Lepisosteus oculatus: one gene and its partners. The protein of the gene in region 1 interacts with the protein of each later gene in a biochemical or structural test. Links are inferred from orthologs where the notes say so. Each region holds a gene or a part of one and is shown in the gene's direction. Other genes may lie near its edges.

What was found.
Region 2: of the proteins of M-phase inducer phosphatase 1-B (region 1) and plk3, one has a biochemical effect on the other in vitro, tested with the Homo sapiens proteins (2 studies listed by BioGRID, with this or other methods). The link is inferred for Lepisosteus oculatus from reciprocal best matches to the Homo sapiens genes CDC25C and PLK3.
Region 3: of the proteins of M-phase inducer phosphatase 1-B (region 1) and chek2, one has a biochemical effect on the other in vitro, tested with the Homo sapiens proteins (14 studies listed by BioGRID). The link is inferred for Lepisosteus oculatus from reciprocal best matches to the Homo sapiens genes CDC25C and CHEK2.
Region 4: of the proteins of M-phase inducer phosphatase 1-B (region 1) and chek1, one has a biochemical effect on the other in vitro, tested with the Homo sapiens proteins (16 studies listed by BioGRID and IntAct, with this or other methods). The link is inferred for Lepisosteus oculatus from reciprocal best matches to the Homo sapiens genes CDC25C and CHEK1.

The regions. Positions count from the first base shown.
Region 1 is NC_090706.1:29,488,792-29,495,893, forward strand, and holds the start of M-phase inducer phosphatase 1-B, read left to right. Parts: upstream 1-4,094; 5' UTR 4,095-4,320; coding exon 4,321-4,760; intron 4,761-4,836; coding exon 4,837-4,907; intron 4,908-5,000; coding exon 5,001-5,046; intron 5,047-5,518; coding exon 5,519-5,557; intron 5,558-6,060; coding exon 6,061-6,094; intron 6,095-6,828; coding exon 6,829-6,924; intron 6,925-7,102. Other genes in the region: slbp2 (stem-loop binding protein 2), read right to left, coding at 1-35, 427-507, 1,303-1,434, 1,721-1,767. UniProt on the Homo sapiens protein: Functions as a dosage-dependent inducer in mitotic control. Tyrosine protein phosphatase required for progression of the cell cycle. When phosphorylated, highly effective in activating G2 cells into prophase.
Region 2 is NC_090704.1:6,013,648-6,020,673, reverse strand, and holds the start of plk3 (serine/threonine-protein kinase PLK3), read left to right. Parts: upstream 1-4,015; 5' UTR 4,016-4,109; coding exon 4,110-4,316; intron 4,317-5,562; coding exon 5,563-5,670; intron 5,671-5,886; coding exon 5,887-6,003; intron 6,004-6,093; coding exon 6,094-6,223; intron 6,224-6,508; coding exon 6,509-6,596; intron 6,597-6,711; coding exon 6,712-6,807; intron 6,808-7,026. UniProt on the Homo sapiens protein: Serine/threonine-protein kinase involved in cell cycle regulation, response to stress and Golgi disassembly. Polo-like kinases act by binding and phosphorylating proteins that are already phosphorylated on a specific motif recognized by the POLO box domains.
Region 3 is NC_090717.1:5,419,939-5,426,759, forward strand, and holds the start of chek2 (serine/threonine-protein kinase Chk2), read left to right. Parts: upstream 1-3,805; 5' UTR 3,806-3,904; exon of another isoform or gene 3,905-3,931; intron 3,932-3,939; exon of another isoform or gene 3,940-4,816; intron 4,817-4,830; exon of another isoform or gene 4,831-5,158; 5' UTR 5,159-5,182; coding exon 5,183-5,468; intron 5,469-5,819; coding exon 5,820-5,944; intron 5,945-6,183; coding exon 6,184-6,316; intron 6,317-6,685; coding exon 6,686-6,776; intron 6,777-6,821. Other genes in the region: iron-sulfur cluster co-chaperone protein HscB, read right to left, coding at 84-173, 2,424-2,520, 3,090-3,499. UniProt on the Homo sapiens protein: Serine/threonine-protein kinase which is required for checkpoint-mediated cell cycle arrest, activation of DNA repair and apoptosis in response to the presence of DNA double-strand breaks.
Region 4 is NC_090718.1:15,711,248-15,719,221, forward strand, and holds the start of chek1 (serine/threonine-protein kinase Chk1), read left to right. Parts: upstream 1-4,972; 5' UTR 4,973-5,039; exon of another isoform or gene 5,040-5,406; 5' UTR 5,407-5,431; coding exon 5,432-5,496; intron 5,497-6,277; coding exon 6,278-6,501; intron 6,502-6,675; coding exon 6,676-6,740; intron 6,741-7,068; coding exon 7,069-7,138; intron 7,139-7,329; coding exon 7,330-7,518; intron 7,519-7,941; coding exon 7,942-7,974. Other genes in the region: prdm10 (PR domain zinc finger protein 10), read left to right, coding at 329-469, 1,028-1,211, 2,039-2,145, 2,787-2,984. UniProt on the Homo sapiens protein: Serine/threonine-protein kinase which is required for checkpoint-mediated cell cycle arrest and activation of DNA repair in response to the presence of DNA damage or unreplicated DNA.

The DNA.
Region 1 (7,102 bases):
ACAGCCTCAGGATACAGCGCTCCAGAATGGACGCTCTGCGGGGACGGAGACAGCAGGTTGTGACCCGGGCGGGACATCCCGCTGGGGGGCTCTGCTCAGCTCCTGGCCTGACACACACACACACACACACACACACACACCACACACACCAGGGCACCCCAACAGCTGCGCTGCTCTCAGACTGAGAAGACCCCACTGCTCAGGTGCTAACAGGTCACTTCAACTCCAGGGACTCCAGGGGGCGCTGTGTTCAGCTGGGAGCGCCCCCTCTCTGCAGGGCGCCTCGTTTCCCCCGCCTCGCACCCCGCACGAACCTACACATCCTCCGCCCCGATCGCACCCCCGACTGCCAACGCCACGCCTCAGGACAGGGGTAGCCCCAAGTCCAGACCGGCACGGGCGCCCCCTGCTGGCGAGACGGCATACCTGTGAGGTTTGTGGGGGACGCCCCCCTGGTCAGACTCTCCGGTCATCCTGCACTGGGGCTGCGCCGCCTCCGAGGAGCTGCTACAGGGAGCAACAGAGAATGAGGGACCTCAGTAGTGCCCCACGCCCCCCCTTTTCTCACACAGCAGGCAGAGGGCTAGGCAGAGCCACACAGACACTCGAGGACACCCCAAGCGCCTGTCCGCAGCTGCCTCGGAGAAAAACACTCCGAGCTGGGAGAGGCTGCTTGTGAGACCGGGAGAGATGTAGGGTTGACACATCGTGGTCACTGGGGTCATCTGCCGGACACTGAGGAAGCGAGGAAACAGGCCAGCAGAGAGAGGACGCAGGGTCAACAGCGCAGGATCTAAACCAAGTCGAACCCTGTCGAAACTGCGTCACACTCCAGCAAGACCTCAATGAGAGCTGAGGACGGTTCTGGTCACCAGGTTATTTCAGCGCCACACTCTCGAAGACAAGATGCTCCGGAGACGAGTAACGACTTCCTTTCACAGGCTCGGAGGCCTGTCCTGCAGCGACTGGGTCCAGCGACAGATTCCGTAGTCTTAAACAGAAGACCGCAGACCTGAATCAAGCACCCCCAAATCCTGAAAGACTCCGACAGTCAACCAGGGGGACTTCAGAACCAGAGAAGCAAACCAGAGAACACCAGTGGAAGCTACAGGGAAGAGCATGTAGCACTGAGAAGTGGAGGCACTTTACACAGAGGGTGGTGGGAGTGTGGAACAAGCTGATACCCTGGATTCTTACAAGCTTATTTAGCTTTTGGCCTCTAATAAGCTTTTGGAGTTAGATCTTCCTCCTGAGCCCGAGTCTGTGCAGAGAAGTGCCCAGGAGTGGGTCAGCGCCCCTCACCTCACCAGCCTGTTGTACACGGAGCTGCAGCCCGGGAGCAGCCAGGGCTCTGGCATGCAGGTCTGGGGCAGCGGGTCCCAACAGGCCAGGTCCAGGTCTAGGGCACCGGGCCAGGCCGGTACCGGCCACAGCCTGCAGGAGGAAGCGCAGGGGAGACAGTTAGACGGCAGTGCCTTGCCGACACAGGGACCGGCGGAACGGGCGGAGACAACGCCACCTCTCCCCCGGGCACTTCCGGGGGGAGGGCTCGCGGGCCGTGACGCAGACGGAGCGGGCGCGCGCTGTCCCGAGAACACGCCCCGGGACAGACCGCAGCTCGTCCGCGCGCCGGCCCGCCCGCCCGCGCCTCCAGAAACCGGATCGGGAATCAACTCGTCACTCGGCGCAAGAAACGCGTGCACACGCAAGCGCTCCAGACCTGTGGTCCGGCGGGCTTGGCGAAGCGGGGTGAAAGCTGCTGGTCATGCTGTTCGGGGCTATAGTAACAGCCAAACTGATCTGCCGCCGCCTGGGGGCTTAAATACCCGCCAGGTGACCGGGGGCGGGGCTCCGCGCGGGTGGACACAGGAAGCAGGGCTGGACTTCCGCTTTGGCGACACTCAGTCCAACCAATAAAAACTGAGAGTCTGAGCTCGAATTTGTGCGGGTTGTTTTATTAACAAGAGCCGCTAGGAAAATGAAGAGTTTCTTTAATAGTGTTTTATAATTAGCATATTTATACGAAGCAAGAGGAGATATGTCACTGAACTGTATCAGAAATTAAATAAGATGTAAGGAATGTTTCATTTAGCCGGGTGAGTTTAGTAAACGTGTTGACAAAGTCCGGTTTTTGGCTTTCACGGAAGCACAGTTGGTTTATATCGGGGTTTATAAGTATATCAACATATCTTCTATTAGTTAACCTTCTCCGGGGCAGTTTAAATCAAATTTAATCTGGCTTTGTGGTTAAGAGCTCGGCTCATAGAGCAGACTCACGCAAAAAAAAAATGCCGTCACTTTTCATCAGGCTCCAGCTGACGTTAGAGTTTTCGGAGAGAATTAAAGTTTTGAGATCGCCATTTACAGATTGCTGATCATTTTTATTTGAAAGATGTCTTATCTGCAGACAGAGTATACTCTACACTGACTACCTTAAGCCCATGCACTGTTTGTACTGCTCGTACATATAGCATGTCAATATTGAGCACTGGCCATGTAGCTTCTGTTCCCTGTAGCTATGTACTCTGATCAAAGCTTTTTTTTCCAGTGGGATTTCCTGATGTAGTAGGTGCTCTGGACTATCCTCATTACACCCCCCCCACAGGGCCAAACAAGGCTGCTTTTATTAGAAGAAAAACAATTCACAGTGTTGATGTACAAGTAAAAAAAATAAAATTCCAGACTCAGAAATATAAATATATTGATCACAAAAAGACAATCCTGTCAGTCAGTTCCATTGAAAGACATCTCTAAACGTGTGACTGCAGTGGGTGTTAGCTAGTCTTAGGAGCTCATCATGCAGTTTCCTGAGTATCAGGTGATCTGTGATGCATGATGTACATGACTCTCACATTTTCAGACGGTCCACGCTGTAGCTATAAATCTGAGCAAAGGTATTGAACACACACAACCATTGATCTTAAGTACAGTTTGTTGTGAAGCAATTTGTTTCATTAATCTACATTTCAGCACCACCTTACTGACCCAAATCGACCCTGATCCGGGTCCGAGAGACCAGGCCCACTTCAATGAGGCTGTTGCAAGGCCAGTAGCCCAGGCTGAGGTGCCCCTGGAGCTCCTGCAGTCAGAGCTCATGGTGTTGCTGGGGTGGGGGATCCCCAGACGGGGCGTGTGACATCACTGCTGCAGGTGCTGTGCTGCTCAACACTGCCCCCCAGGGGAGGGAGACAGTCCCTCCCCTACCCCCCCGTACCCCGATGGTCAACAGGGCGGCAGAGCTGGGAGACACATCACAGCTCAACAACATTCTAGTGAAAACAAAGGTTTTTAAGATATATTTTTTTCTCATTCCATTTAGGTTGTTTTTTCCCCACCCCCAATTATAATTGGGTCGCATTTTTATCTTAAGACTTTCTGCAACTTGGGGGGGAAACAGACTCAACTGTAAGCCCCCCCCCGAAGATGTTGGAAAAGACAGTGTCGCAGAAAAGGAATCCATTCTTTGTTGTGCTGATGACGGTTCCTCCTCGTCCAGTCCTACTCTGCACACACCTCCTCTCTTGGCTAAAATCACGCAACAGGTTCACTGCAGTTCACGCTGCAGTTTTCAGGACCGCTGTGGGTGATACCCTTGCATTTTGTCCTGACCTGCTGTTAAAAGTTTGAACCCACTTATCGAGTTAATTCAATAAAAATCACCCTTTGGTTGGAAACCACCCGTGGATCTGTCTCTGATTCATTGTTATTCCTACAGATAACAACGCGTGGGAGTCTGCAAAACACGAATTACATTTAGGCAGCATTTTTCTTGAAGGAGCTCTCTTTAAACTGACTCTTTATGTCGTTAAACGTACAGATATTCCGCGTGTTTTAACTACATAACACAAAAACCACGAACAAACATCACGGGCCGTATGATACTTCTCCAGCGTGGTTGAGCTTTCCGGCCAATAGCCTTCAGCGCCGTAGCTCTCCAGCCCCTCCTTCCTCGGGGCACGCTTTGATGGACAGCAGAATGGACCAGTAGACCTGCAGCGTCCGGAAACGCTGTCGTGAGCGTGCTTTGACTCACGTTTCGCGGACGTCGTGCTGCGGAGCGTGATCCGTGATTGGCGGATCGCAGCGCGTGAAATTTAAAATCCTGTGTTGGGGAGTTTGGGGGAATGTAATGGAGGGTTTTACAGGAAAGGAGGGATTGTTACGGAATCGCAAGCTTAAGATTAGTAGATAAGAAAATATAAATTTTCCATCAAGTATTAAGATGCATTTAAACATAATTTCGTTCATTTGTTAGCACGATGTCTGAAATGCACCGGGTTTTTTTTGCTATCAAGAGGAAAGGGGCAGCACTGAAGACCTATGTGTTGTAACTACAGCACCACTTTCTGCTCTGTATTAGCGTTCGCCTGGAGTTTTATTCCAACCGAGAGACGCAATCCGAGCGCAGGGCGCCGTGTGTCCTTATTCTTTCGCAGTCGGCGTGAGAGGGAGCGGGCGAGGGTCGCAGGCAGGCGCGAGACGCCCGGTTCCGGCTGCCGACGGTTCGAGAATCGCCTGCGCCGCGAGCAACGCAGCAGGAAAGCGGTCTCGGGGAAACACGCGCAGGAGAGGGACCCGAGCCCCGGCCGCAGCGCAGGGCGCCGCCGAGTCAGGATGAGCGAGGGCCTGTCCTTCCGCGCCGGCTGCCGGATGCTGCTCAGCCTGGCGAGAGAGGGGGAGGCCGGCTCCCCGGAGCGCCTGCTGTCCCCGGTATCCGAGCTCACGCACAGCCTCGGCAGCCTGAACGCCTTCCAGAGCGGGTGAGTGCAGGTCCGGCCTCCCCCGTCCCCCGTGCCCCGCGCCCCGGGCAATAACCTCCTCGCCCGTGTCTTTCAGAGACACCCCCCGGCGGTGTCTGGACCTGTCGGGCCTCAGCGACGGCGACGCCCCGATCCCGGCGCACAGCGGTCAGTCCGTCCTGTCCACCCGAGCCGAGCCGGCTGTCTCCCCGGCGCCTCCTGTCTCCGTCCTCATGTCTGTCTGCGTTTGTGTCTCCCCAGACCAGCTGCTTTCCCCCCGCGGTCCCCCAGACTCTCCGGCCCCGAGGTAACTCCTTCCAGTGTCTGCTGACCGCCGCCGAGTCTCTCTCTGGCCCCGCTGTCCACATCTGGCTCTCTCTCTCTGGCCCCGCTGTCCACATCTGGGTCTCTCTCTCTCTGGCCCCGCTGTCCACATCTGGGTCTCTCTCTCTCTGGCCCCGCTGTCCACATCTGGGTCTCTCTCTCTCTGGCCCCGCTGTCCACATCTGGGTCTCTCTCTCTCTGGCCCCGCTGTCCACATCTGGGTCTCTCTCTCTCTGGCCCCGCTGTCCACATCTGGGTCTCTCTCTCTCTGGCCCCGCTGTCCACATCTGGGTCTCTCTCTCTCTGGCCCCGCTGTCCACATCTGGGTCTCTCTCTCTCTGGCCCCGCTGTCCACATCTGGGTCTCTCTCTCTCTGGCCCCGCTGTCCACAGCCGGGTCTATCTGTACGTGATTGTAACTTTTTAATCCAGTTTTGCTTTCTTCTGTCTTCCCAGTTTCCCCCAGAAAGTGACCCCCGACTCGGAGAAAAACAAGTGAGTGTGTGGGGGCAGAGGGGAGGGGGCGGCAGTGGGGAGGAGGGGGTGAGATGGGATGGGCGGACATTACAGATCAAGTAAAAGCTGAAATGACAGGTTCGACAGAGAGAGCACTGATGGTCAGTAACATGCCGCATGGCCCACACTGGGCCCTAGACAGTATGGCTGATGTCCTTCTCCTGTTCCTTAAGTAGTGTCCGTGACTGTAGTAAACTGTGAAGCCGGGAGTGGATCAGGAGTCTCACTGACAGCCCTGCTGAGGCTCTGGAAGGCAGCGCCCGAGTCTCGCTCCGTCACGAGTATCCTTCTCAGCCCGGCCTCTGCCGGCGACTCTTCGCTCCGAACGGGGTCGTTAACGAGGCGTTCGGTTCCCTGCCGGGCCGTCGCTGTGGTTGCCCGGCTGGCCGCGTGCTTGGCCCGACGGGTCGGGTGGCCAAGCGGGTCTGTGGATGACCGGTCGTCTGCTCGGCCTCATGCCTGCTGTTCTCTCTCTCTTCCAGGAAGGGCCATATGAAGCGCTTGAAGTCCATGCTGGTAAGAGATCAGCCCCCTCTCTAGGCCAGGGGTTCGGGTTCCTGCAGTCGGCTCCCTGAGTCACCTTGTCCCCGAGATCTGGGTCCTGGGCTGTGCTATTTCACTAAGAATTATAATGCTTAATAATTCCATACACTTATATAGCGCTTTCCTGGATACTGCACTCAGAGTGCTCTACAGGTAAGGGGGATCCCCTGCACCACCACCAGTGTGCAGCCCCACCTGGATGATGCTCCAGTGTGCTCACCACACACCAGCTCTCAGTGGGGAGGAGAACAGAGTGATGAAGCCAGCTCAGAGATGGGGATTATCAGGAGGCCATCATGGGTAAAGGCCAGGGGGGAATTTGGCCAGGATGCCGGGGTAACACCCCTACTCTTTTTCAGAAACGACTTGGGGTTTTTAATGACCACAGAGAGTCAAGACCTTGGTTTTACCTCTCGTCTGAAGGACAGTGCATTTTTTGCAGTATGTCCCTGTCACTATACTGGGGTGTTAGGACCCACATAGTCCAGTGGGTGAGTGCCCCCTGCTGGCCCCTCTCACACCTTTCCAGCAGCAACCTTAGCTTTCCCAGGAGGTCTCCCCTCCACACCTGCTGGGCTTCAGCGGGCTGCTAGTGTGAGCTGCGGGGTGATAAGTCTGCTGGCTATCTAACTGTCATCTGCTAATCGTGCCACCTGGATGAACGTGTGTCACTCCTGTTCACTGCTCTCTGTGTTTCTGTTTCTCAGCCCAGGTTGCTGTGCAGCAGCCCTAAGGTCGGCTCAGGCGGTCTCAGCCCCGGCGCGCGGGGCCCCAGCAGTCCCTGTTTCAACAACAAGGAGAATGTGAGTGCGGCCTTGTGTTTCTCTGGTTGTCCAGGAGAGTGTTCTGAGGTTCTCAATCTTGGGGAAAATGCAAATTGAAGCGCAGACTACACAGCACAACTGCATTGTTTCATCAGACCTAGGTAACTTAAGACGAACGTAAACACAAAAGTATAATTTTCTCATTATAATTATAGAA
Region 2 (7,026 bases), on another chromosome or scaffold:
AAAATTTGAAAAATTCTTAGCCTATCATCATTACATTTGCGCAGAGTAACAGCTGGAATATGCAGGGAAAGGGTGAACTATGTGCCTATTATTCAAAAAAAACATAAAATAAAATAAAATCAAACTTGTTTGATGTATTTTTTTTTTCGGATAGTGTCTGAAAGGAAACCAGTGTTGATTTTGCAGTTTGTAGAACTGGGGCCAAACTGTGTGTTTTCCACTCATGAGATTGGTATAGTTCATCCCTATCCAGGGTTTGAGTGCTGTGTGTTAGGCCTAGTCCCAGCTGCAAGATACGCAGTATCCTTTAGCAACTGAACTCCACTGTACCACAAAGGCACCCTCAGTGGAAAACTGAGCTTTCTCGGGTGTTCTGTAGGGTTGTCTCTATCACATCTCTATGTACAATACTATGGCTGTAGCTATGCTCCAACTCAGAACTATGTATAAGATATATCTCAAACAATCAAAGTTTATTTATCAAATGCACAACAATACATCGTGCAGCAGTAATTGCTGGCAATGAAATGTCTTTTGTGCGAGCTCACCAGGTGGAGATAAAAACAAAAATCACAAAATTAAAAGGTACAGAATAAAGTTACATAAGTTATAGATTTTAAAAATGCATAATATAGATAACCAATAATAAATTAAAAGGGGGTTTAATAATGAATAGTGCATCTTTACGTTTAAGAGCCATTATTCAAATAATGTTTTCTACATTAATTTACAGTATTGTGTAATGTTGGTTTCAAACTTGTCTTCAAACTTATGCAACTGCTCCTCATTTTTTAAATTAGAAACAGAAACCGTCTATGAACCAGTAAGTTACCTTGTCAAAATGCTTAGAATGAAACACATAATACATTTTAAAAGAATTGTAATGTTCCTGCTAGAAGTACAATATTTTCTTTTTATAACATTCATACCCGTTAGGTTCTTGCAGCATGTTCACTGTACTGTAACCAATGTCCACCAGAGGGCTCCCCAGACTATTGTATGGCTGTGAGAACACTACTGCTTCACAAGAGTAGAGGGTATGAGAACTACAGTAATTCTCCGAGCACCACAGAACTCAACAACTTATATTTCTAATATGAATGCGCATTGTTCTCAAGAGTCTCCCGAGTGAAGTTTGTGGATCCCATAAGTAAAAATGAGATTCAATAGATTAGTCAATTCAATAACATTTTAAAATTAAGGAATACTGACCAGATCAATCAAAGACAAGACAGAAATGTTGATAATTGTCTTCTAAATTAAAATCTCATCCATTATTTCAGCTGTGTTGGAAATAATAAAGCAGATGACAGGTTTCATTATTTTTTTCTGTATTTTCTTCTTCCAAAGATCTAGATAGGATATATCCATTGATCTTTTTCTATTTCACTGGGTTTAGGCTGGTACCTAATTTTGCCAACATCTATCCTGCAGTGTTCCTGCAAAACGTCTACTGAACCTTTCATTACTACCCCCGACAGTCTTCTGAAAACCACACAAGATGTGTTATGAATCGCAATTGTGAAAATGTGTTGCTTGAATACTGTTACAGACAGAAAGTACAAAATATCTGAACTGATGTACTTTTGCTCTTGTATTTCTGTGCAGTATTTTATTGCATTTATAGTCTGATTAAAATTACTTCCACCTGAGGACCACTTGTTTCTTCATTACACCATTTTAAACTTGTTCAACTTTGTACTCTGTCCCTGTGCCTTGTTTGTTTACCAGACGTAACTGTGCAGTGCTGTAATCCTTGTTTGTTGAAAATATATTGATTTAAAATGTATTAATGATTTCATTGAAACAATATTCCATGGTCCTACACTCTGACATTGGGTATCTATCTGGAGTGTGGTATTTCTCTGGATGCCCTGGTTTCTTCTAGCCAGGTCTAGTTGTCTATTCTAAATTTTCCCTTTCCCCATGGCACTGGGTTGAATTTGAGGGCAGTCATGTGCTCCCAGTTTTGCCTTGCAGGCTGTCCTTCCTAAGACGGGCTCCAGCTCAACACTTTCCTCAAAAAATTAACTGGAACAGCAGTGTGGAGCAGCAGTCAGGGTTCTGGACTTGTAACTAGAAGGTTGAGGTTCAAATCTTAGGTGAGAGAAATGCTGCTTTTGTATCATTGAGCATTGTACTTCTACCACTGAAGCACTTTCACAGATATTAAGCACCAGCAGCCTGAATACACAGCAGATCAAGGGCTCCCGTTGCATTAAGGGGAACTTTAGGTAGGCCAGATTGTATAAACCCAGAGTAGAATTTAGCCAGGACAGAGTCTAGAGTTAACTATAATAATAATAATAATAATTTTAGTCTTCCAATACCATGGGATCTTAAATGACCAAGCAGTCTGGACCCCAGTTTAACATTTCATCCCAAGGACAGCACTTCCTATAAAACAGAGTCCCGTGTCTGTTGGAGTACTGGTTTGGAGATTGTGGTCCAGAGGGGAAAACACCATGTTTCGTTTTGATTAGCTCATGCCAGAGATATGGAAACAATTCTGCCAGTCCTATTCTTGATACTGGAAGCCTAGATACTGACTGGAAGGTACTGACTTTTCTAATTAACTGAGAAAACATTTAAAACCATTGTCTGACTCAAGGTGGCATCCAGCAGTATTTTAATTTTCTCTTCATGCTGTCGGTGGTCTGTATACATAAGAGTGTTAAAGGGAAAGACATTGTAAGTACATTTTCACTGCCACTTAACGTGAATTGTATTGTTCCTCTTTCAAAGTGTTGCATGCAATACAATAAAAAAAAGATTTCTAGATGATAGGTGGGTTTCTAAAGAAAATTTAGAAGTATGCCTAAATACTACAAAACATGAAAACCATGTTTATGAAAGTGCGCTTTAAATTGTTATTTTTTAACTTTCCAAAATCTGCCCCTTTGCCGCACTCTCATTGACATTATAAAAGTACAAGTATTTCGGTTTATTAATATATCCGTGTGTGAAGACAGGGGGCAGTGAATCTCTAAGGAAAATTGATGAACAGTTCTGCAGACTAACATAACGCAATTATACGTTGACAGCGGATTAAAAATGAAAAGATTAGCTGGGTATTCTTACCATTGATTATTTTTATTGAGTTTATCTTTGACATTGATTTAGGGTCATCCATTGCAATCGCTTTGACTAATCCTAATTTAAAGACAGTGTGCTTTTCACATGATTAGTCTTGAACGCAGTCGGAAGCCATTCTTTTGTGAACAATAGCATTTGATGCCAAAGATCTGAATGCCCTCGTTAGTGGATATGTCAGGGCTTTCTTTACTCAGCGTGATGAATCGCCAGTCCGTCTCTGGCACTCAAATGGTCTCTCAAAGATGGTAAATCTATTGATTTTGCTCTGCATCTTTGACTCTATTTTGAGCCGGTTACCCTGTAACATGTAACAGGTCCTAAAGGCGGGGTAAGTTATACTATCTTTGGTTAACAAGTAGTGGACATTCAATAAACTGTGAATTCTGTACACAATTTAGCCTAGCGCTAAGGACATGTGCACAAATCATTCATGCTACATGAGTACCAAAGTAGCTAACTGTTTTAATATTGATGATGATGATCATGATGATGATGATGATGATGATGATGATGATGATGATGATGATGATGATGATTAAATTATCCCGTGGATCCAAAGGGTTTTCTTTGGCTTCCCAAATAATCCTAGAATCTCCAAGTATATAGTGTTTCAGTGGTATTTTATTCAGAAGTATCTCATTTTTATTTAGGATCTAAGTGACTTGAAGCTATTTTTAAAAAATTAAAAGTTTACTATGAATATCCCACATACAAATATATAACTATATATTACTATGTATCAAAGGGTTTTCGTGGATTACCTGTTAACACTGATCTACTCAGGCATCTTGAAAGTACGGTTAGGACTAAACAACTTCGAATAGGCTTTGCGTCTTTAAAATGTAACTCCGCCTCGCTGCCCGCCCATTGATACAACGTGACAAAGACCTTGAATAAATGGTTCAGGGATTCCCTGTTAGGGCATGTACTGCTGAGGCTGGAGGAGAGGAAAGAGGAGGCTGTTACCATTTAACAGAGGAAATATATTGGCGGTGTGTTTGGGGCGTTAATGAATGGAATCAACGTGCTTCTCCAGCTCTCAGCGCCTCGCTTGCCAGATCATGAATCCGGACTTATTTAAAGCTAGTCCTGAACGGGCTGCTGCTCACCCGGCGAAACCGAACCGAGGCAAATTGGAACAGTCCCGATCGGAACTGGCTCATGTCGTGAACGATTCCAAGACGGGGAGATGTTACTGCAAAGGAAAACTGCTGGGAAAGGTATATACTGCAATCACGTCGAGGCGCTGCTGTTGTCATGTGGCACCGCTGTCGATGAATACTCATTTTTTCTGAGGGATTTGTGAAATTTGCGGGAGACTATTTCATTGAACAGTTTGTTTTGAAGGGGTTGGAGGTCTACCAATTGATAGTTTTTTTTTTTTGAGCGAAAATATTTTTAAAATGTTTATTGAGCCACGTTAGCGCTCTGTCGGTTTTAATGGTATGGTATTGAAGGCTTTTTTTCTTTCCTTCCCTCTCCTCTTAAATATTATAATGGTTTTTAAGTGGCTGGCTAAACATAAGCTTTTTATTTTTCCATTGACTGCCTGTGAGAGATTGCGGGTTAGACTGCTTTTGCTGATGCACAGCTTGTGACTGCATAAGCGCTCTTTCCTTTCAGTTTGTCTCTAGCTGTGTGACTCATTGGGTTTTACGTCTCTGAATGTGAAAGATTTGGGTTTATTGATTAGAAGTCGGTGCTGGCTGGGAAGAATTGTTGTTCACGCAGTTGTGCATGAGGTTAAGCTTTTGCGTTAGGGGTACTTAGTTAAAATTAATCTCGTTCTTCTGGAGACTTTTTAATCTTCATGGGTATTGTTTCCATGTATACGAATGTGACTTTCCTCCAAATAAATCCTTTAAAAGTATTTTAACGTTTCGAGTCCAGATGGAGAGATCAAATTTATGCCACGTTGAATAGGGTAATGGTCGCTGGCTTCCCTGTTTTTGATTAGAGCCTTTCTAGTACTATCGCCCTGAGGCGTTTGATGCAGTGTCATTAACCAGCATGGGGGGTGCATAACACCTGATTACAACATTCCTTAAATATGTAGAAATGGGAGGAAGAAAGATCTTTGTGCCTCATCTTTGTCACGTTTTTGATTTTGTGTTCCCTCATAAATATTACATTTACACTAGAAGAGGAAAGTCCATAGCTTACTGTCCGTATGCCAGGGGTGAAGAGGGTTTTTTCCCCTATTGTCCTGGAAGTGGTGCATACAATGTAGAAGCGCCCTTGGCTGTTAATAGACCTCAACCATCCACATTTAAGATGTGAGGCTGTGTTTAAAAGAGGGTCGTCCGGCGTGGATTTAAAATTCGGAATTTCTGAAGAGACGGACCTGTGACATATGAATGGTGACAACGAATTCTGTGCTTCTTTCCTTTTGTATGTGGGACTCGGCAGGAGTAGATTGTTTACTTTGGTGCGCTTTTATTGATTACATCCTAAATGTATTTCTAGGGCGGATTTGCACGCTGCTATGAAATGACGGATATTGCCAACAACAAGGTGTATGCTGTGAAAGTAATACCCCAAAGCAGAGTGGCAAAACCGCACCAGAGAGAAAAGGTACCGTATTTTGAGTATTGTTTTTTGGAGAATGAACTAGTCGTCTACATTTTTTTTCTAATGCTGTTCTTTATTCATTTACTTATAATAGCAATACACCCTTTAATGTATTTACAATTTCTGTACAGAAGAGGTTGGGTTAAAGGCTGGTCTGTTATGGAACTGGTGAGGGAGTTCTACCTTTTGCTGTAACTCGTCTTTTTAATCGCCTTCCAGATAACGAATGAGATTGAGCTGCACAAAACGCTTCATCACAAACACATAGTGAAGTTCTCTCATCATTTTGAAGACCAAGAAAACATCTACATATTCCTAGAGCTTTGCAGTAGAAAGGTAAGCTGTTGGCTTTGGCTCTCCGGTGATTCAGAATGCCGGTAGTGAGTAATCATTCAAACTGACGGGCGTTTTCCATTTCCTTTGCAGTCTCTGGCGCACATATGGAAGGCACGGCACACATTGACAGATCCCGAAGTGAGATACTACCTCAAGCAGATTATATCAGGACTGAAATACCTCCACAACAAAGGGATTCTTCACAGAGACCTCAAACTAGGTGTGCACAATGAAGCACTGCTTTTATTGCGAGATGTTCACAGCTTTGGAATGCTCTGGGGAACTGTTGTCATGAGACCTAGTTCTCAACACAAAAATGTCCTCTGGGTAGATACTTTTTTTTTTAAAGAGGAAAAAGGAAATATTTTTTTTTAGCCTACAGTTGCTTGTGTTTAAATAGCAAATTCAGAATGGCTTCTTAAATCTTTGCCCAGAAAGGGCAAAGTATCTTTTGATACAGAACCCTCTCAAAGTACATGAAATTAATTGAGGTTTGTACTTTTAGGTAACTTTTTCGTCAATGAGAACATGGAGTTGAAACTGGGAGATTTCGGATTGGCAGCCAAGCTTGAACCAGTGGAACAGAGGAAAAAGTAGGCTTGATTTGTTTTTTTTACTCAGTTCCAAATTTCTGCTGATCAGTATTTTTTTTCATGTTCTTCTAGTCTTCTCTGCACTGCATTAATGCCAACTTATTTACTGTTCCAGAACTATTTGTGGTACCCCAAACTATTTGGCTCCTGAAGTCCTGAACAGGCAAGGGCATGGACCAGAATCTGATGTTTGGTCACTGGGTTGTGTCATGTGAGTGGAATCAAATGCCTTTTCCATATGTCGTATGTCAAATGCCAACAATATGATAATCATGTGAAAATAAATAATGACAATGTTTGTTGCCAGAAAACACAAAACATCATGATGTCATTTTAGCGTGACCTTTGTATTTGTCGCAATGAGGGAAACGTGCCAGCAGTGTGATAGGAAAATAAGAGTGGTTAATGAGAGCTGAAGAACCATTTTTAG
Region 3 (6,821 bases), on another chromosome or scaffold:
TATGCAAAAAGTAATGGCAATATTTTGAACTTATCTATGTACTGTATCATTGTCACTGCTAATTTGACAGGACTGATACTTACCATATAAAGCCCACGACTGAGAGGCTTAAGTAAAGTCCTGTATGCTCTGTTAACCAGGGCAGACTGACTTTCAGAGTATTCCTGCTCCTGCTGTAAGAGACATCACAAAATAACTTCCAGGAAGTAATCAATAAAGACCCTGCATGCTATTTATTACAGCACATGTTCCAGAAATCTCACAGGGCAATCATAAGACTTTATTTTCCCCAAAAGTAATTTTTTTCCCTTTCCGTCAGTGTTCAATGTAGCATACTTAACATGATCTGATGATGTGATATAATAAATTATTTGTGAAAGGAAAGTTACTAGTTCTGACAGGCAGAATGTGCTTGAACGTACCAAAGGTTAAAAAGCACTTGATAACTCTTTATATGAAATGCCTCTCATTTTCATTAAAAAAATAATGTAGAAAAAACAGAAGGTCCACATATATCTGGGACTAAACAGCTTCAGTCTTGAGGCCAAGCATGAAAAACGTATTCACAAACCTGAAAGGTGCTGACAAGGTCAGCCCAGAAGATTACTTTATGCTCAAGAGTAAAATAAGTACAAAAGGGCACAACTACAAGCTGCTCATGAAAAAGTATATTTATGGCTGAAAACAGGAGAGGCTTTTTACACAAATTTTTGTGGAGGTTTGGTACCAAGCCATGTTGTTGAAGCTAATACTGGAGATCAATAAACTATTTAGACAAAGGTACCATAGCAAGCTACTATTTTCCTGGACCAAATTTTCAAAACCTTCACAATAAGTATACAAAGTATTACAGAAGCAGCTGTAAACCGCTTTATGCTGATCCGTGGTAAAAGCTACAACACAGCTGGTCATTTATCAATTACATCATAAATAATAACATGAAATTAGGTGCAAAAAAAGTTATGATTACCTAAGCAGTGCTTCAAAGTGCCTTGAGCGTTAAAAAAAAAAAAGGTCTATTATATTCAAACAAATTAACACAACATTGGGGACCAGATCTGTACATGTGTATTGCCTACTGTTTAGATGCAACTCAGTCCAGTTATGAAACAACTACATTAACGTCAATGTGGGATTATGCAGTACTTTTGTAAACCTACAGCCAAACCTTGGCATTCAGATCTGCTTGCCATTTTATGAATGCATCTGAATAGGCTAATTTTACACTTACCAGGTCCTGAGTGTAAGAAAATTTGATTTTTTAAAGGTCTTGTCATGCTTGGAATAGTTGAATGTCTTGAATCCAACAACAGAAGCTGGTGTGTATGAAACATGTAAAAGGAAATAACTGAAAAACCATCTCATGTTTGGAAGACAAGTTGAAGGTAAAAGGGCTCAGCAACAGAGGGGCATACCAGGCTTATGCAGCCAATGGGAATCAATGAGAATTAAAAGTGGCCGATTTCTATGTTACAGCCATACATCATGCTACACAAAACACCAACAGTCAGTCAAGCCCCTCATTTAAAACTGATCTGTAGACTGGATCATCTCCAGAGTCAGTCTGCTCCTAGGACCTCAATATCCAAAAGCATTAATTAGTCAGTGCCGCTCCATATGGTTAAATATGGTTAACAATCAGCAGCAGGCAGATTTTCCTGGGGGCTTGAAATAGCATTACAAGCCAAATTTTCACTTTTTCCTGATAATTCTTTAAAAGTGGTGCAGAGTAACAGAAAGTGCTTTGGGAGAAAGTTTAATACCCTACCATGCTAATCCCCAGCACTGATGGTCCTTGTCTTTAATATGCACCATATTGTATCAAATAGACTCTTCTGCAAGCCAAACACATTTCACATCATATCACTTAAGTTAAATGGAATCAGACAAGCCATTTATTTTTAAAGCAAAGTCTTTATTTTTAGACATGAATAGTCTCCATATCCAACACTACTGCATTGCAATGTGAAATTCCAAAATCCTCAGACCAGACTACAAAGTACTCAGATACACTCAGTCTATTTGCAGGAGTTAAGTGTTACTCCTGCCATTTCTGCCATGTAATTCCACTGCTATTCGAGACTGACTTTTTTGTAGTTTGAACATTGCATGAGTATGCCTACACGATTATTTTTTTAAATGTCTGGAGACATTAGAGTTGGCAGGTGCACGCACGCTATGGAGGCTGGTGAACCTTCACTTACAGACTATACCAGAAATGCAAAATTATATTTGATTGACAAAAAAAAACACCAGTCCATAGTTCACTGGGTTTTGATTCTATTCATTGGACTTGTACAGATGCTGAACAGAAACAAGCTGTGGACAGTGGAAGTACAAGTCTACACAGTGACACAACAACGTTTTGCCCGTTTAAGAACTAATTGCAGAAATCGTGCCATACACCTGGAAGCATTGCTTACCTGCGTTTTCTGGCTGAAATTATCAGGGTGAAGAGAACGCTGAAGATGCATGTACCTTTTCTGTAACTTCCGAACATCCAAAGCAAAGGATATTTCACTAAAACAGTGCATAAAGGTTTATTAACACCAGGTGCACTAACACCAACATCTGATGATAGTCGAGCAATAAATGCTGCAGATGTAAAAAGTCAACTAGCATGTACAGGATTCTTAATGGAACAAGTATTATTAGTTTATTCCATGCTGAAAAGAGAAGAAAGACAACACAACGTTTCGGCCACGGAGCCTCACACGTGAAGAAGGCTCCACAGCCAAAACGTTGTGTTGTCTCTCTTCTCTTTTCAGCATGGAATAAACCTATTACTTGTTCCTTTGCAGCCTGCGCATGCTGACGCAGTTACCCACCTGAACTAGGATTCTTAATAGCAATATTTATAAGACCTCTCTAAGAATTAAAACGTTTTAAGAAATGCAAAGCTGTTTTATGCAGTTAACGTTTAATAAATATATGGCAACCCATTAAGGTTACAAAACCATGTGTAACTTTAGCATATCAGAGGGATCTCGCTGAAAACAATTTCAGTCAGCCAACGCAGACACCTGAGATCGAAACTGCTCAAGTGGACAAACTACTTAGAGTGCCAGACAGACCAGATTCCTTCTCACCAGTCCATGATGTCGAAGAAGTTGATGTTTTCATCAAGTGGCTGGATGACAAGGCAAGCCGGGCAGAAGAACGCAGGAGGCGTCTGCAGTCGTGCCTCGCATTTCCAACAGTGTAGTTTTTTCAAAACCGTGCAAAAAGTCCTGGAAATCATACCGCATCGACGTTTCAAGAGCGAAGTGGCTGGGAACTGATTTGATTTGAAGTGCTCCAAAAAATGCAATGTTTTTGAACAGACTCCAGAAGAACGGCGGCTGCCCGAGCCATTCAAGGTGAACACCGTTACGAAAGCTTCACAGCCAGACGTGGAAGGTAGATGTTTTAAGACAGACTGATCATTTCCAACATAGAGCCCTAGGCCACAAACTCTACGGAGTGAGCTGGCAAATCGTAACCTGTTTAATATCAGCATTGTTTTTCCTTTAAGTCAATATCCATGCATGCCGGTACTGCCTTCACCTCTCGTAAGAGGAGGAGGTGGGTAGGGAAGACAACAGGAAGCATCAGAATTATTTCCGGTTGGATATATAAAACATAAAATTGTTTAAAAGTAAATATGCAGTATTAATACTATGGTATTTACATGCATTAGTTTAAATTTGTGGGTTCGTTTAATATTATGGAAGTCAGCGAACCTCAAGTTTAAGTCACATATTTCCCAAATTAGGTCTCAAGGCAGAGGCTGAACTACATTTCCCAGTCTGCCCCAGAGTTTCCCCGATTGGTTGGCTTCTGTAATTGGTTGATTTTGTAAAACGTTTCGGCGTTGTTGAATGTACTACCTGTGATTGAGGAATAATCGGGGAATTTTGGGCATGTGAGTAGCTGATTTTGTTGAACTCAGGTATGACCTAACTCGTATGAATCATGCAAAATGAAAACAGCATGCTTCTGTATTTTCTTTAAGTTTACGCTACTGTATTAGTTTTATTGACCGGGAGTCATGGGCGCAGTTTTTTTACTTTTTCTTTTAATGTGTACGTCATCTGAGCTCATTGCATAGATTTAGCTACAGTTTCTGATTTCTTTAGTCGTGTTAAGAAATGTGTCTCATATCTTAGACGTGTTTCCTTAATTATTTCGGCCTATGTTACCATGTGGCACCGGGAAGAAGGCGGCTCTCTTGTTATTGTTATTGCGGACGGGTGCAAGTTTGCTTCCTTGTAATGCAAGGACTACAGACTATGGGATGCCAGGCACTTTGCCAGAAATATTTTTTTTAAAAATAATGACCCCCACCAAAACGAATGACAACTTTTAATGAAAACACTTTATTTAGTTTTTACCTCGGGCAATTCAAGATTTTGTGGATGAAAGGACTATATACTGTAGATGTACAATAACATTTTGTTACAAGCCACTCTTGATCTTTGCATTACCGTGCGCGGCCACAACCACTCTTTTGCTGCGGAGAATTTGCAGATATGTGCTAAATGGGTGCGGGACATCAGAGAGCGGCCGCCAGAGACCGGGAAGTTGTGCAGAACTGCACCGATTTGTAGGAATCTGCACTAGCATTGTGCCGAATGCTTTGAAGAAGGCACCTCGGATATAGCGTTTTATGTTTTTTAATACTGTGATTTTTTTTATGTTTAGTGTTTAAGTGCAGCGTTAATTTGAATTGGAAGTTACATTCATGACAAGATAATTTATTAAAAGTTCAAAAACAAGAAAAATCCACTGTCTCTCAGGGATTTTATCATAAACGTGCGAAAGTACCCTGTCCAAGGTAGGTGATTTTCTTACCATTTTAAATTCAACCATTATTGATGTGCTTGATTATCCAACCCCATTTGCTCATGTTCACGAAAGCATATGCAGTTTTGCCCGTGGTTGTCAAAGTGTTTGGCCTTACCTGGGTACACGTGTTGTGTTTGCATCTATAAACATAAAAACATACCAGTTCTTCTGAGCCAGGAAGCAGAATCATGATTTTGTTTCCACATGAGAAGTAGCATCAGAGGTTAACAACAGGAAGCAGCTTTGTGCTGAAGGAAAAACAAGGGTGTGCAGAGGAAAGCTAGACCACTAACTACTGTTCTGGTGCCTCTGTTGTGCTTGATGCTTTCAGTAAAGGTAACCAGGGAGCTTAACCATGTCTGAGGAGCCTGGCCCCAGTGACACCCAGCCTCAGTCCCAGTCTCAATCCCAGTCCCAGTCTCAATCCCAGTCCCAGTCCCAGAGCAGCTCCAGTTCTTCGTCGGCGCCTCAGTCTTCCAGCCAGTCGTCCTCGTCTTCGGGCTCAGGCACGCTGAGCTCCGTCGACACCATCCCCGTGCGGGACCTCTCGTCCATTCCTGAGGAGGCCGAAGACCCGGAGGAGCCCCCCCCACAGCCCTGGGGCCGCCTGCTGCCCATGGAGAAGGGCTTCGCAATGCACAGTGAGGGCTCGCTCTCTCCTGCCTGTCTGGACTAGGTCCCAAAGGACAGTTCTGTGCCATTTAGCCATCGCTGGCTTTCGGAAGCTTGTAGAAAGAAGTTATATCTCCTGATTATGAATCTGAAAGTGAATGCGCCACTTTACCTAAATAGTTCATTTCTTCAGTGTTCTCGAACATTTTATTAAGTGGTGTGTTCAGGTGAAAGTTTGTACTGATATTGTAAAATGGCCACTTTGAAGTATAAAGAAAGATTTACTAATTATTTCTTTGTGTTGTGTGTTGTGATCTTAAGCAGTTGCGAACATTAATTGTTTAATGTTAAACGTGGCAAACCTGGCCTTTTTCTTTCAGACTGCATAAAGGATGAATACTGGTTTGGGAGAGACAGACGATGTGACTACAGTTTTAATAATGCCTTAATCAGAAAGTCAGAAAAGTACGCAAGTTACAGTAAGAAGCACTTCAGGATATTCAGGGTAGGAGGTACTTCTGTTATCGTCCTTGGTCAACTGTTCCGGTATCCACTCGGAACAATTCCTTTTGAAGATTTAATGCTTTTGTTATCCCAATATGTCTCTTTATGAGACAATTATGAAATAATTCATGAAATAGTTGTCTGATGCTGTGATTAATTGGGTCACAGTTTTGTAGGAAACTGACACATTTTTAACACCTCCTTCCCCTCCCTTCCCCACTCCAACTTTTCTCTGTGCAGGAAAGCGGAATTCCGTATATTGAAGACCACAGTGGGAATGGGACCTATCTTGACGGACAGTATATGGGACAGGGCAAAAAGTTACCACTGGCAAATAATGCTGAACTGGCGCTTTCTGTCCCCCAGAACAAAGGTAGAATTTTTCTGTGTAATTTTTGTTACTAAGTTTGTTTGTTTTTTGGTGGGGTGTTTGAAAAGGAGTTTTTAAGACATCTACACATCAGTGTGTGAACTAACTTGCATTAAATTGTACTGCCCATGTAGCTCAGGATTCCTTCTTCTGACGTATTTAACCCATTCTAGAGACTGTTGCTTTATAATCTATGTCATTTCTAAAGTTCTCATATCCATGCATAGCTTTTTGTAGGAATCCCAAAGGTATCCTGTAATGTTTAATTAAATATATTTTGTATAAGGGAAGCTGGTGATATGTTACATTAGTCTTACTCTTTTTCTTACTTCCCAGTACCTAAAATGAAATATTTTACTTTTTTCTCTATAGTTTTTGTGTTTATTGACCTCACCGTTGATGAACAGTCAAACCTCCCAAAGGAATTCAAGGACAAATACTTGATATCAAGAAAAATTGGATCGTAAGTGGAGCAGTCGTTAAGTGTGTTGCCTCGCTAAAGGGGGTG
Region 4 (7,974 bases), on another chromosome or scaffold:
CGGGGTGTTTCTCGAGAAGAGTAGGGGTGTTACCCCAGTGTCCTGGTCAAATCTCCTCCTGGCCTTTACCCATCATGGCCTCCTAATAAGCCCTGTCTCTGAACTGGCCTCATCGCTCTGCTCTCCTCCCCACTGAGAGCTGGGAGAGGGCTGGAGCATCATCCAGCTGGGGCTGCACACTGGTGGGGGTGGAGGGGATCCCCATGACCTGTAAAGGGCTTTGAGTGGAGGTCCAGAGAAGCGCTATAGATGTATAAGGAGTTAACATGCCGCGCAGCCTGTTGGTAGTTTTCCTCTGAAGGTTTGCACCCTGTCTTCCCCCCCCCAGGCGTCCTCTCCGCACACCTCCCAGCATTCCACGGTGGACGTCAGCCAGCTGCACGAGCCCCACGGCTACACGCAGCACTCCATCCAGGTGCAGCACATCCAGCTGGCCGAGCCGGCCGGCTCCGCGCAGGGCTCCGCGCAGGTAACCGGCCCGGGCGGGGCCAGGGGGAAACTCGCACCTTCCCGCTGGGATTCGGGTCCTCTTGCGAGAGGGGTGCCTCGTGGGTGTGCCCCTTCTGTGTCTTTTCAGGGCGGGAGGTTGGCTGGTCTTTCCGATGTCGTTCGTCCGCGATGCAGCTCGTGTGGTCTGGGAGTGCCGGGGCTTGGGTGCCGAACGTCGGCAGTGAACCCAGCCGGGAGAGACCAGTGTGGCCTCGCAGCAAGTGGAGAGAGCAGCGTTTTGTAATCTGAAGCCAGAGCAGGGCAGGTCATGTGCTGGGAACCGTTGTCATCGAAGTTTCTTTGCTGAAGATTCACTTATGGCTTTAAAGCATCTTCAGTTTGTGCTGCTCTTTTATCAGATGAGTACCGTGTCAACTGGGGCAGAAATTGGGACAAGAAACCCTTGATACAAAGAAATGTAAAGATGTTTGTGTGCATGATTAGAAAAGCTGTGGTTAAGGGTGTTCAAGGGAGCCAGGTCCTGTTCTCTTCAGGATTGGCCAGCTCGTCTAAAGACTCTTCTCCCTTTTATTCCCAGGTAGCTGGGCAGCCACTTAGCCCCTCCTCCCAGCAGGCGACGCAGGAGCTGAGCCCCTCCCAGTTACAGACCGTCACCCCGGTAACCCTGGCGCAGAGCCACACCCTGCAGACACCCTCGTCTCAGCAGCAGGGGGCAGTGCAGCACGCCTACCTGCCCAGCAACTGGAACTACAGGGGCTACTGTGAGTGACTGGGCTGGACATATTCGTGTTTCATACAGAGGCCCCCAGCCCTGGCCCTGGAGGGTGGGTGTGGTTGCCGGTATTTGCCTGTGGGTGATCACTCCCATCCCCTCCGCTGCTGTCGGGACCCAGAAACCCTGCAGGACCAGGACTGGAGACCCTGCTATAAGCACACGCATGTCATGTGCTCATACCATGCACTCCGTGTTTGTGTGCGGCAGTGCTCCAGAGTCCGGAATACCGTGTAGAGAGAGAATGGGGAGAGCAACACGCTGGTCATAGTTTTCACGACCCGAATGAGCCCTTTTTCACTGATCGGCCCCTGGGATTAGAAAATATCTCTGTGTTCCAGAATGGACAGCTGGCTCCGTTTTATGAAAAAGTGCTGAAATACCCTGCCTCTGTTTCCTAAGTGTAGTGGCAGTCTGTGTCTTTTTCGAAAGCTGTATGGCATCTTCGAGATCGTGACTTGTAGCTGGGGATGTCCTCCCCACCTGCTGAAGCACACTTTCTAGCATGAGTCCCTCTGTACCCCAGCTAGAGATCTTCTCGCAGTGAAGACGAGCCAACAGGATTGTCCTCGGGCTCGGTGTCGCTCCCAAACCTTCCCTGTAATTTGAAGAATGTAACTGGACTGAGAAACCGGAAAAGATCTTGGGCCGCCCTGTTGGTTTTCCCCAGTGCTGATGTACATCTTGTCATCTTTGACCGGTGCTGACCGTACTCGATACACATTGTGCTGTTGGTCGAGGGGGTGAAGAGAAGGTCGGTGTCATTCAAAGCCCTGTTCCAGGCTTTTTACATTCCTCTCTCGTTCTTCTGTCCAGCCTCGGAGATCCAGATGATGACTCTCCCCCACGCCCAGTACGTGATCGCCGAGACCGGGGCCCCAGTGAGCGCGGTGAACAGCGGTCAGGTCAAAACCATGTCCCAGGTCAGGAGGTTTCGGCCTGTTGACATCCGAGCGAGTCGGGGGGGGGGTGGTCTTCTGTGGAAGGTGTCCCTGTCACAGCGATGTCACTCGAACGTGCAGCAGGTTTCTTACAAGTCGGTGGCTCCGGAGGGTTTGTCAGGTATTTGGGTTGTGTCCCCCCGAGACGGCTGTTAAAATCGGAGGCCTCCTCCTTGCCCTTCTCCGACACGCTGGCCTGCGGAGAGCCCCGCAGCGCCTGAAGGAGGGTTGGCACCCAGTGGAGGAGCCCTGTCATCCTGTCCCCATCTCCAGGGGAGGGGATGACTAAAGAACCGGGGCTTGGTTAAAAAAAGCCTTCTGTCTGGCCTGGGGCACAGCGAGTGACCCCTAAACGGGCTGTCCTGCTGTGCAGCAACATCCTTCAGCCCTGAGCTTCCTGCTGTGGGCCTCGCCTCCCGCTCCTCGCTGACGCCTGTATCGCAGGCACTCCCTCTGCAGTGTGTGCAGCTCTCGGCGACAGCAGGGTACGGCAGCAGGCCTCGGTCCGGGGCGCCGGCAGCAGGGCGCTGGGAGTCCCGGTCACAGGCGCCAGGTGTCTGGACTGTGCGGCTCAGGCTTTTGCTTGAGACGGCTGTCTGACCCCCCCACCCCTCTTCCTGCAGACGCACTACGTGATTTCGGAGGGGCAGGCGGAGCTGGACCCCAAGCAGGCGGCCGTTCCCCAGAGCAGCGCCCCCGTGCACCCCGACCAGCTGGAGCCGCAGCAGCAGGCCGCCGCCCAGCAGCCCGCGGCGCAGTACATCATCACCACCACCACCAACGGCAGCGGCGCCAGCGAGGTCCACATCGCCAAGCCCTGACCCAGGGCGCAGGGCAGGAAGAACGGGACGCTGGGTTCCAGGGATAAAACGCATCCGTGCGGCTTTTTCTGTTGGAGGTTCGGTGTAATATATTAGAGCTTTTATTTTCTTAGAAGGTCAAGGTTGGACGTTTTCTGTGTCCGAGGGCTGCGGAGAGCCGGAGTGAAGATGTCGCTGCGGTAGACTCCCCCCTCCCTCCTCCTGCGCCCCGAGATGCCTCTCGCCTGCAGACACCCCCAGGAGCAGAGGGGGTGCGTTTTGCCCTGTTTCTGAGGGGCTCCCCGTGCAGGGTATGGAGAGGAGGAGCGCGTGTCCTGTCCGAGCCTCTGGGGCGCAGAGAGCGAGCGCCCTTGAGCTGCCCGGAGCCCCGCCTGCGGCCGGCGACCACCGGGGGGCTCTCGCTTGCAGACGGAGCGACCCTCTTCTCCATGGTGGTCTTCCCGCGGCGCGGCTCGTTCGGCTCTGTGGTCGCGCTGGGCGCCGTTGCCTAGCGATGGATTCTCATCTCGGAGACGGGACGCCCTGCAGGCCGCAAAAAGAGGATAACATGATTTTGTTTGTTTTTTTTTTCTTCTTGAAGACCTCCTAACCTGAAGGGACTTGTATAATGTAAAAAAAGAAGTTGTATTATTATGGGACAAACCCGGGACTTGTGTACAGTGAATTCCATTGTGGCTCTGGTAATAGTCGTCCTGTTGTGATCGGGGGAGGGGATGATTAAAGAGAGAAGGCTTTTTTAACTGAACCCTGGTGTCTGGCCTGTTCTCTGCCCTGGGGCACAGCGGGTGACCCTACAGCAGCTGTCCTGCTGTGCAGCACCATCCTTCAGCCTTCAGCTTCCTGCTGCTTGCTGGTGGTTCGTTGCCTGGGATACAGGCATTTCAGCTTTGTGTTCAGTTCCCCGCAGACGCGATGTAGTAAGTCTACAGGCTGACATGGTGCTTGCCATGTGGGAACCGACGGGACCCGCTGCGGTCCTGTTCCTGCCAGTCCTCAGCTGGGAGTCCTCTGTGAGCGGAGGCAGGCCGTGGCTGGAGAGGACTTCCCAACAGATCCCCCAGAGAGGGTCGGGGACACTGCTGCGGCCGGCGCCATCGTTCAGAGAGCCGTCAAACAGTCCTGCCTGCCTGGCCCCCATTGCCCCCATTGTTTTCATCACAATCAGGAGTTCAAGCACCGAGTTTGTTGGTACCTGTAAACTTCCTTGTAGATGGTCACGTGATTACCCGAAATCAAGGCGCTATATCTCGGAAACGAAAGCAGCACAAACGCTAATTACAGCAACACAAACCGTCGTTTGTGCTGTTCGACGGGCGGGTGGGAACCTTCATGGAGCAGGACAAGCAAACATGTCTGGGTCAGTACATCGCAGACTGCATAAGACTCGACTTCACCTGAGGATCTAACACAGGCGCCCACACCTGTGTCTTCAGGGGGCAGGTGTGCCCTCACGCTGTATTCTACACCAAGACTGGCCGGAAACACGAAGATACAAGGACTGTGAGCTCATCGCTTCATATTTGCGCATAAGACTCCTGTAAATACAAACACACGGCTAATGAGTTTATTAAAAAATGCAGATATAAGTTCGCTTCTGTTATGTGAAAATAAAAAACATGTTTCCAATATTGCCATGGTCCGCAGACGGGGTCACTGGAGGTCAAAGGCACCGTGCATGGTCACTTGATCACAGGAAAAACAAGGCGCTATATCTCGGGAATGGAAGCAGCACAAACGCAGCACTAACGAATGAGACCGGCCCGGTTTCCCTACGACATTATAGGGGGGCTGATTGACGTCACGACCCCGAAAAAACACATCTCGGAAACGTGTACTAGTGAACAAAGCGCTATTTCATTCGCTTTTGAAAACGCTGCGCTGTCACCCAACAGCAAGATGGCGGATTAGAGTCGTCCCGCTGACGTCATTCGCATGTCGCCCATCTCCCCTGCTGCCGACGTCAACAGGAAGTGCGTGAGCCCAGAGCGGAAGGAGCGTGGAGGAGATTTGAGACCGGAGCGCGCCAAAGCGCGGCCGTGCAGTTATTTCGGAGGGGTAAACTGATTTTAAAAAAATCCGAAATACGGGCAACGATCGCCTTGGTCTGCCGTGATGCGGACTGCTGCAGTCTGTCGAGAAGTTGGGTGCGAAGCGCAGCGCCTTTTCGATCCGAGTCAAAGGCGTTTCTAAAAGCTCCCTGCTGTGCGCCGCGGCCCGGACGGGCTCTTCAGCGTGTTCCAGGTGTCCCTGTGTCGGTTCTGGTTCCGAGAGGACCGGAGCCCGGGGCGGGTGTCGGTTCTGGTGAGGGTGCTGTCTTGCCGGAGCCGCAGTGGCCGGTGTGTCAGGGGTGCAGCTGTGTGTGATACCGCTGGCGCCTGTAGGTGCTCTGACTGTCTCTGCTCTCGTCTGGCCGGGCGAGCAGGTGTGTGTGTCCCTGAGCCCTGGACATGGCCGTGCCCTTCGTGCAGGACTGGGACGTGGTGCAGACGCTGGGAGAGGGGGCTTATGGAGAGTAAGTACCGCGCCCTGGCTCGCCGGGGGCCTGATGTGCCAGCAGTAACTGTGAACGCCTCAGGCCGGTGTCCATCGATGGTCCTGCAGGCTGTCGGACCTGCGGACTCACTGACACTGCAGGACTGGGGGACTTGTTTTCAGCCCACATTGGGATTTGAAATGTTTCTGTGTCCAGCCTGTGGTCAGTGAGCCTGTGTTCTCTGTACAGCCAGGTCTGCCTGTGTCCAGCCTGTGGTCAGTGAGCCTGTGTTCTCTGCATGGTCGGGTCTGCCTGTGCCCAGTTTCTGTGGCTGGGTGAAGCACTGTTGTCCAGTGTGTGTTGTGTGTGCGTGCGGGAGGCAGTGCTGTCCAGTGTGTGTTGTGTGTGCGTGCCGGAGGCAGTGCTGTCCAGTGTGTGTTGTGCGTGCGTGCCGGAGGCAGTGCTGTCCAGTGTGTGTTGTGCGTGCGTGCCGGAGGCTGTGCTGTCCAGTGTGTGTTGTGCGTGCGTGCCGGAGGCTGTGCTGTCCAGTGTGTGTTGTGCGTGCGTGCCGGAGGCAGTGCTGTCCAGTGTGTGTTGTGCGTGCGTGCCGGAGGCAGTGCTGTCCAGTGTGTGCTGTCCAGTGTGTGTTGTGCGTGCGTGCCGGAGGCAGTGCTGTCCAGTGTGTGCTGTCCAGTGTGTGTTGTGCGTGCTTCTCCTGATCTCCGACTGGCCTGGGCTGCAGGAGCAGCTGGCGGGGGGAGGGGGGCTCGTCTCGGGCTCAGCGGGGCGACTGGTCACCCGTGTGCTCTCTGGCCGCCAGGGTGCGTCTGCTGGTGAACAGGCAGACGGAGGAGGCGGTGGCGGTGAAGGTGGTGGACACCTCGCGGGCGGCCGACTGTGCGGACAACGTCAAGAAGGAGATCTGCATCCACAAGATGCTCAGCCACCGCAACATCGTGCGCTTCTACGGCCACCGGCGTGAGGGGGACACGCACTACATCTTCCTGGAGTACTGCAGCGGCGGCGAGCTCTTCGACCGCATCGGTGAGGCGCCCCTCCTGCTCCTCACCCTCCTCACCCTCCTCTCCCTCCTCTCCCTCCTCACTCTCCTCACTCTCCTCACTCTCCTCACTCTCCTCACTCTCCTCTCCCTCCTCACTCTCCTCACTCTCCTCTCCCTCCTCACTCTCCTCACCCTCCTCTCCCTCCCTCCCTCAGAGCCGGACGTGGGGATGCCGGAGAGAGATGCGCACAGGTTCTTCCAGCAGCTGGTTGCCGGCGTGGTGAGTCTGTCCTTCAGCGCCGCGCTGGTGGGGTGTCCCCGGCTGGGCTGTCTGGTCCGGGGGTCCCCCTTCTTCCTTTTGCCTTCGTTTGGGTGGGGGGGTCAGCGGCTCTTGTGTGCCGAGCCAGCGTGAGAGGCGTGCTGAGCGATCACAGCGATCCCAGCAGTCCTTGCAGCGATGGGGGCCGTGCTTGAGTGTCTCGGGGGCCGCAGGTTGAAGAGGGAGGTGCGTCTCGGGGGCCGCGGGGCGGAGAGGGAGGCGTCACTGTGGCTCGTGGACTCCAGTGCGCTGGGATAACTGTGTGTGTGTGTGTGTGTGCGCTCCACAGGAGTACCTCCATGGAATAGGAATCACTCACCGGGACATCAAGCCGGAGAACCTGCTGCTGGACGACAGAGGTGAGAGCTGGGCTGGGTCCTGACAGTGTACCGACCCCCTAATCCCCCCCTGTCCCCGGCCTGTCCCCGAGAGGCGTCCAGCCTCTGGTGTGGCTCCTGCTGGGCAGTGTACAGCCTGATTTGAAGGCTGTGAGTGGACGCGGGGCGTTTTGGTGACACTGAGATGGTTTCCTCCGTCCTCTTGGCCCCAGACCAGCTGAAGATCTCCGACCTCGGCCTGGCCACCATGTTCCGGCACCGCGGGCGGGAGCGGCTTCTGTCCCGGCTGTGCGGGACGCTGCCCTACGTGGCTCCCGAGCTGCTCTCGCGGGCGGACTTCCACGCGCAGCCCGGGGACGTCTGGGCCTGCGGCATCGTCCTGACCGCCATGCTGGCCGGGGGTGAGAGCGCGGGCCTGTGTCAGGTGCTGCCGTCAGGGGGACAGTGGAGTCGGGGGGTCCAGTGTGTGTGTGTCCCGGGGGGGGTCCAGTGTGTGTGTGTGTGTGTGTCCTGGGGGTCCAGTGTGTGTGTCCTGGGGGGGTCAGTGGGACAGTGGAGTCAGGGGTCAGTGTGTGTCAGGGGTGACTATGTGTGTCCCGGGGGGGTCAGTGTGTGTCAGGGGTGACTATGTGTGTCCCAGGGGGGGTCCGGTGTGTGTGTCCAGGGGGGGTCAGTGTGTGTCAGGGGTGACTATGTGTGTCCCAGGGGGGGTCCGGTGTGTGTGTGTCCCGGGGGGTCAGTGGGACGGCGGAGGCTCGTCTCCCCCGGTGGCACTGCAGTGCTGCCCTCTCAGTCTGACGCGCCCCGTCGCTGTGCCGCCGCAGAGCTCCCGTGGGACCAGCCCAGCGAGACCTGCC